Linked DNA regions of Macaca fascicularis. The protein of the gene in region 1 interacts with the protein of each later gene in a biochemical or structural test. Links are inferred from orthologs where the notes say so. Each region holds a gene or a part of one and is shown in the gene's direction. Other genes may lie near its edges.

The links.
Region 2: the proteins of NR4A3 (region 1) and SIX3 form a complex in vitro, tested with the Homo sapiens proteins (3 studies listed by BioGRID). The link is inferred for Macaca fascicularis from reciprocal best matches to the Homo sapiens genes NR4A3 and SIX3.

What each region holds. Positions count from the first base shown.
Region 1 is NC_088389.1:58,296,786-58,300,595, reverse strand, and holds part of NR4A3 (nuclear receptor subfamily 4 group A member 3), read left to right. Parts: intron 1-554; exon of another isoform or gene 555-740; intron 741-966; 5' UTR 967-1,140; exon of another isoform or gene 1,141-1,144; intron 1,145-2,036; 5' UTR 2,037-2,077; coding exon 2,078-2,108; intron 2,109-3,330; coding exon 3,331-3,810. UniProt on the Homo sapiens protein: Transcriptional activator that binds to regulatory elements in promoter regions in a cell- and response element (target)-specific manner.
Region 2 is NC_088387.1:77,099,446-77,103,255, reverse strand, and holds part of SIX3 (homeobox protein SIX3), read left to right. Parts: intron 1-124; exon of another isoform or gene 125-530; intron 531-1,489; exon of another isoform or gene 1,490-2,168; intron 2,169-2,519; exon of another isoform or gene 2,520-2,799; intron 2,800-3,425; coding exon 3,426-3,810. UniProt on the Homo sapiens protein: Transcriptional regulator which can act as both a transcriptional repressor and activator by binding a ATTA homeodomain core recognition sequence on these target genes.

The sequences.
Region 1 (3,810 bases):
TCGATGCATGTTCCCACTCTTCGAGCTGTGCCCACCCCGGGCAAAGGGGGCGCTATAGGCCGGAGTTTGGGGCACCCAGTTCCTTCCCTGAGGCCTGCTGAGCTGCGCTTTCAGCTACAAAGTTTCGCTGAGGCTGTGCGCTGAGACGCTGGTCCCGGAGCCGCGGTGGGCGCCCTCAGGAATGTGCCCCCTCTAGGCCGCTGGGTGGCCGGGAGTCTCTAAGCGGCCCACCCTCGAAGACACCGCCCTCTGGGTACAGGGGACCTGCCTTCGCCCGCCCCATCGGCCGCGAACGCCGTCCGCTTCGTCCCCTTGCTTCCAGCGCCAGGCTTCCTTTGCTGTGCCCTTTTGTTTGCTTGACCCCTGGCCCTTGAAACTCGCGGCTAATAGAAGCGAAGCTCCATTAGCATTTAGAATGAAAAGCGCAGACTTTCTTAATTCCTTGGGGCATTCATGCATTCGTTCCGGACCTTGTGCATTTCCTATGCAACGTGTAAAATTTGTATTTGAGGGATGGGGGCGGGCGGAGTTGGAAAATGGCTTTTTTCCGCTAGTGAACACTCACTGACCCCCGTATTCCGGCGGAGCTCGTTCTTCAAGTGTTCTGCTTTCTTCGGTTTTCCTGACTTCGCAAGCTCGGAATCAATTGTGGGGGCAGAGAGATCAATTTCTGGGCGATAACAGGCTGCGCGTTTTTTAGCCTCGGTTCCAGTGCCACAAAACAGTGGTAGGCGCAGTGGGTTCGTACAACCTTTCCTCGGCTTCCCCAAGGCTGCGTGATGCTTTTTGCCCAGGGGGACTCCTGTACCATTAATCACCCTTAATTTTATGATAATTCTTTGTAATTAATGTAGCATTTCTAGAGGTCGCCAACCAATTCCCCCAGTCCCCAATGCGCCCAGCCCGGGTCGTAGTGACCCATCCTGGTCTCACTGTGACCTATGTCCTCTCTCCCCGTGCCTGTAGAGCCCACTGTGGAAGAGCGCAGCCCGGCAAGCCCGGGCCCTGAGCCTGGACCCTCAGCGGTGCCGGGGAGCACTGCCGGCACTTCGCCTCACCGGACGTCCGCTGCTCCTACACTCTCAGCCTCCGCTGGAGAGACCCCCAGCCCCACCATTCAGCGCGCAAGATACCCTCCAGGTAGGTACGAAGGCACGACCCTTTTCTCCTCCCTGGCCGAGGGAAGTGGGTGGGGGAACCACACACTCGGCGGGCAGCGTGGTCGATCTGCCCAGTGCCAGGACAGTGACGGCTGGCCGCGAATTTCACAACACAGGTGGCTTCCTCATGGGAAGCTCCTCTGTATACCACACCCTGTTGCTACTGAGTGGAGCAGCCAAATTAAATTAAGCTTGCATTGCTCAAAATTAATTTTCCTAAGAGAAATACAAATACACCAATAGATTAGGGTATATTACACATTTTTATTTCATTTTTGCTCTTCTTTTGTAGTCAGTGTACACATGTAAGAGTTATGGAATCACTTAGAGCAATACTGAGCATTTTCATTTATATACAACTCAAATCATTTGGGTGCAGAAGTTTGGATGATTGAAGCTGGGAGGGAAGGAGAAAAGCATTTGAGCTGAAAACCAAAGAGTAAATTTGAGTTTGGCGAAAGAACAGATTGCACGTTTGGTTTGTACCACCTCTTTACAAATTTGTTAAAGGAATACTAGGTGCCAAGCCTGTGTGGGCACAATAGATAATGCAAATAAATAGAATACAATCCCAGCAAGCTCATCTTCTAGAGAGAAACCTCAGAAAGACACAAATAAGAGCAATAGGAAGGGACTGGCCGGAAAGAATGACAGAAAAGACTAAGGGAGAAATCCTAGAGGTGCTGAAGGGAGAAGGAGAATAGATGAAAGATCAGGCAGTGTTCTTTCTTCTAAATGATTAGCCTTTCATTTCATCCCAGCAACTGGACAGCAAGATAAGTTACTGGACTTCAAACTAGTGAGTGTATTTTTAAGGCCCTGCTTGTTAAAGAAAAGCTTGAACTGGCCTCTCCTCATCACTGCTTCTTCCAACAGGCCCTCATCACCTTTTTTCAAGTCAAGATTTCATCCCATACATGCATGACTCAATCAGATTTGGAAATGTGGGTAAGAGAAAGATGTCAAAGGAAATGTGAAGTATTCACTTCTCTATTAGTCACACCTTTTACACTATAGACTCCAAAGAGGCGTTAAGCACCTGGTTTTCCTTTGGCTCAGAAAAACCAACCACCAGAAACCACCGTTTTTTTACCATTTATATTTAGCCATAAAGAAAGGAAAATAATTAGATAAATCATCCACAACATCTAATAATTCTCAGAGCCTTCTCACTCAGTTCAGCCTCTCTGAACAATAGTAAGCACCCTGGATACCAGCCACTTTGGGGGCAACATAGTCAAACTGGCAGAGAAATCAAGTCTATTCAGAAACTGCTTTTTTCTTTATCGGGGTACTAATTCTAGTGTCATAAGGAAATACCAATACTAACTTGCCTATTATAATAGTTATAAACTGTTATCACAAAACAGCCACTGATTTGTTTTATTAGTTAGAATTGGGATATATATGTGTGTGTGTATATATATATATATATATGGGTGGGTGTTTTGTTGCAGCTGCTGATCTTTTTCTTTGCAGATGGTATAAACTCCCCCGAGTCCATTTCCTGGGCCTATGTCCCCACCTAGCTGACTGAAGTTATCAACAGGGGTCCAGTTTGTGCAGGCTGCTAGCCCTATTGGAGGAGTGGGGAGGGGGTGGGAGAAAGCAACCACAACGTGTGTGGGCAGCCTCAATTGGCACTCATAAAATGTTAGAATGTCAACTCTCTCCCTTGGCCACTAAATCTCTCACAGGGTAGCTTTTTTTTGACTAACTCAGGTTTACAAATCAATGTGTGTGCCTTGGGGGACCAATGGCCTCTTTCCCCCCAAATAAACCGCTGGCTTTCTCTTTGTCCTCCTAGGTTATAGCTGAGGAGGCCACTCCAATTAGTTTACAGGACTCAACACCTCTTTTTAAAAACATCTGTGAGCTTATGAGGAAAGACTTCAAGTTTCCCAAATCTGGTGGAGGACAGGGCAAGGGAGGGAAGATAGGCACAGAGGTCCACAGGTCAGGTTTTGGCACCCCTTTGTCAAGAATTCAGCTTCCTTACTAGGGATGAAGTAAATAAGTGTGGGGCTTTGTGTCTGTGCTACCAGGAGGAGGACAGGATGACACTTCCTCTCTATTTCCCAGATTAGAGAACAGTGAACTCAGTGCTGCCTGTTGGCTAGAAAACAAGTGTTAACTTGCTTCTGAGAGACCCTTTTCTCGGTCCCTGCAGATATGCCCTGCGTCCAAGCCCAATATAGCCCTTCGCCTCCAGGTTCCAGTTATGCTGCGCAGACATACAGCTCGGAATACGCCACGGAGATCATGAACCCTGACTACACCAAGCTGACCATGGACCTCGGCAGCACTGAGATCACGGCTACAGCCACCACGTCCCTGCCCAGCATCAGTACCTTCGTCGAGGGCTACTCGAGCAACTACGAACTCAAGCCCTCCTGCGTGTACCAAATGCAGCGGCCCTTGATCAAAGTGGAGGAGGGGCGGGCGCCCAGCTACCACCACCATCACCACCACCACCACCACCACCACCACCATCACCAGCAGCAGCATCAACAGCCATCCATTCCTCCCGCCTCCAGCCCAGAGGACGAGGTGCTCCCCAGCACCTCCATGTACTTCAAACAGTCCCCACCGTCCACCCCCACCACGCCGGCCTTCCCCCCGCAGGCGGGGGCGCTATGGGACGACGCGC
Region 2 (3,810 bases), on another chromosome or scaffold:
CAGAACCCCTCGACTGAGACCCTATGGAGCCTGCGCCCACAGCCCGGCCAGGAGCCAGTACGGCCCTCCGCTCTGGGACCAGCCACCCCGCCTCCCTGCCCTGCTCTGCGGACTCTCAACTTACCGGCTCCAGGCGGCGAGAGTAGTGCTTCAGGCCAGAGTCGAGAGGCGCTGGCGGCGGCTGGACCGCGAGGTGGGCTCGGTGGGCGGCGCCGAGCTCGGCTCTGCTGGGAGGCGCGGACAGCGCGGGATGCCACCCGCCCCACCGGGTCCCGGCGCACAAAGCTACACGCCTAGCTGCAGCCCTCTGCCCTGCTTGGCGCTCCGGAGCCGCGGTCACCACCCGAGCAGGCGGGGTGCGACGGGGCGGCAGGCTCTGGGGCAGAGGCTAGGGGGAGGCAGTGGGGGTGTCGCCAGAGTCTCAGCCCCACTTGCCTCAGTTCTCCCTGAGTGGCGATGGTTTTTGATTTCAGCGCTTTCGCAGAGCCCGCAGCACCTGCCCAGCCTCCCTCCGGGGCTGGCCCGGCAGTGGCAGGGAGAGGCCAGGTCGCCCCCACCCGGAGGCGGGGGTTTCGGGGACGGGGAGGGGACTGACCGGGTTCACCCGCCCGCCCGGCGCCTGGGTCCCTGGCTCCGGGGGATGCAGTTTCGGGGTCACGAGCTGCTTTCAAAAAGTTGAACACAATATTCGGAAACCCACCCGTAGGAATTCTCCCCCCACACGCGGCACAATACCCACTCCCCTCCCCTTTTTCATTCCTTCCTCCCCCGCTTCCTCCTCCTGCCCCTTCCCCCTCCCACCCTTCAGCCTATAATCCTTCCCCTACGAGAGAAAGGGATCGGGAAGAAAACATGAAGTGTCTGTTTTTGAGTCCCAACCTTTGGGCTCTTTCTGGGCCCTCAGTGAACGACCGCCCAGAGCTTCTCAGCTGCATTGGAGGAGGACTCATGGCCGGGAGGGGAGGAAATATATGTGGAGTGGAGAGAGCACTGAAATGGGGCTTGGCAGGAGTGGAGAGAGCACTGAAATGGGGCTTGGCAGGTCTTCCCTTTGGAGGAATATTTTTCTGCCCCAGTCGTCGTGTTTAAGACCTGCTACCTCACGGCTGCCTCTGGCTAAGTGAGCCAGTATTGGCCCCTCGCCGGTCCCAGGGCCTCCCTGCCGCCGGAAGCCTCCAAGGAGGCTTGCACTTGCCGGCTTGCTCTTCCCCTCGGCCCTCAGAGGCCTGGCACTGCGGGAGTCAAGGCCTAAGCAGGGCTCCAGCTCGGAGTTTAGGGGCTGGGACACTCGCAGCCCCAGTCACGTTAGGTTTCCCATTTAAATTCTCTCTCAACCTCTCTTTCTCTCTTCCCTCATTGAGATCACCAAAGTGGTGTGGACCCGGCGCCTTGCCCCCAGATCTGCATCGGAATGCAGAAAAGATCTTTTTAAAAAAAAAAAAAAAAAAAGTTTTGAATTCCTCAATGATTTTTCTTCTGGAAAGGCAGCTTAGGATAATTATTTCAGCTTTATTGAGGGCAGATTAGTTGAAGTCTGGGCGCTGCGTTTCAATACGCGTTGTACACGGGCCGACAATGTGGTCATTGTTGGCTACTGTGTGTGAATCTATTCAACATATACACTTTTTAACACCAAACCGAGTCCTGTCTAAATATACACAGCGCTCAGGGAAAGACGTCTCTGACCCCGACAAATCTGCGTAAATCACACTTCCATAGTTACAGAAGCCTCACAAAGGGAGGCCCGGCTCAAGATGCTGATTACATCTTCTTAAAAGCAACATACCTAAGAATAAATACCCATGCCTGGCCTGGGGGCTGTAGTGGCCAGAGACAGAGAGGGCCCTCTGTGTTCTATGGGCCTTTTGGGGTGTGTTTTAGGCTTTCAATGTTACTTTCCCTAGAGAAATTAGGCAGTTTTAAAATAATAATGGTAATTATTATTATTTTACAATACGAGCAAACAAGCAATTTCAGGCCTTATTCACTTCATCCGGGTGGCTGGCCTCCAAAGTTTGAGTGCCCTCTGGGGCTGGCAGGCAGGACCAGAGATCCTTCTGTTGTGTGGTGAGGAGTGGGCATCTGTGGGACTTTTCCGGGTCCAGAGGGCTCTTGGGCTTCTCGGCTCCCGCAGCTCCTCCACCACTCCTCACAGAGGCTGCTGAATTCTGGGAGGAAACAAAGAGTTGAGTTGCTTCTTAAGATGGAAAGAACTGTACTGTTTGGACTATTATTTTAAAATGGGTGGTGGGGGAAATCGAGGCTCCTTGGCTGGGGAGGGAGTAAAGAGAAGCCTAACTGATGAAGAGGGAGCTGAGGTGAATGTGGTCCATGGGCACCGATGGGGGAGGCAAGAGCGGCCTCCAGCACCCTGGGAACTGGGCTTAGGCTCCCTGGCGCCAGATACCCTCGGAATCCGGGATCCCTGGCTGGCGCCACGGCCCGCTGGGCCAAGGTCGGTGCTTGGTGGGCCCCATGATCTCATCTCTCCTTTCTTCCTTGCCACTATTAGTGCTCACATAGGCAGAAAGAGGCGACTCGACGTGCAAACCATGTGCAAACCGCGCCCGCTGGGCTGGTCAGCCGTCTTTCCTTGCCCGCCGACCTGGCCTGTGTGGAGCCTGGGGGACCCTCTTGCCTCCCAACAAAATCCCCGCTCTAATTGCACATCCCATTCAACAACTCTGTGCCCAGGGCTTTTCGAATTTCTGGATCAACTTCTTTGGGGAAAAGGGAAGAAGGCGGCTCAGAGACAGCGATAGAGAAAAGAAGAGAGAGAGGAAGAAGAGAAGAGAGAGAGGGGGAAGTAGCGAGATTAAGAGTTGCAAAGATAAAAAAAATTCTCTTTATCCCCCCCTTCTCCCTCCTTCCCTGCTCTCCCCCTCCCCCCGCCCTCTGGCTAAGTGGTAAAACCGTCCTTACGTTCTCGGTATTGATTGGCAGGGCTGACAGTGATTGGCAGTGGTTGCCGTGGCAACGCCACAACGACACGCCACAGACCAATAGAAAAGCGAAACAAAATGTTTCAATGCTGCACTCACTGTGGATTTAGGGGAGATATTATGAGGCTGTTGTCATTAGGGCGATTGCGGTGGAATCGCTGAATCTTGACTCGGCGGTGGTTGGCTCTCCCTCTCCTCTCTCCCTCTCTCTCTCCGTCTCGGGTTCTCTCTCTGCGCGCGCGCACCGGGCCGCTCTCCTTCCTCCCTCTCTATGTGGCTGCGCGGGTGTGTGTGTGTGTGGATGTGTGTGGGGTGTGGGTGTCCTTTACGCCCTTCCTCCTCCCCCTCCTCCTCCTCCTGCTCCCCCCTCCTTTCCTTCTTCTCCTCCCCCCTCTCCTCTCCCTCCTCCTGGTCCTCATCGCCCCTCTCCTCCTCTTCCTCCCCTCTCTCTTCCTCTCCCTGAATTTTCTCCTCTCCTCTCAGGTCAGTCCATGGTATTCCGCTCCCCCCTAGACCTCTATTCCTCCCACTTCTTGTTGCCAAACTTCGCCGATTCTCACCACCGCTCCATACTTCTGGCGAGTAGCGGCGGCGGGAACGGTGCGGGAGGCGGCGGCGGCGCGGGAGGCGGCAGCGGCGGAGGGAACGGTGCGGGAGGCGGCGGTGCTGGCGGAGCAGGCGGCGGCGGCGGCGGCTCCAGGGCCCCCCCGGAAGAGTTGTCCATGTTCCAGCTGCCCACCCTCAACTTCTCGCCGGAGCAGGTGGCCAGCGTCTGTGAGACGCTGGAGGAGACGGGCGACATCGAGCGGCTGGGCCGCTTCCTCTGGTCGCTGCCCGTGGCCCCCGGGGCGTGCGAGGCCATCAACAA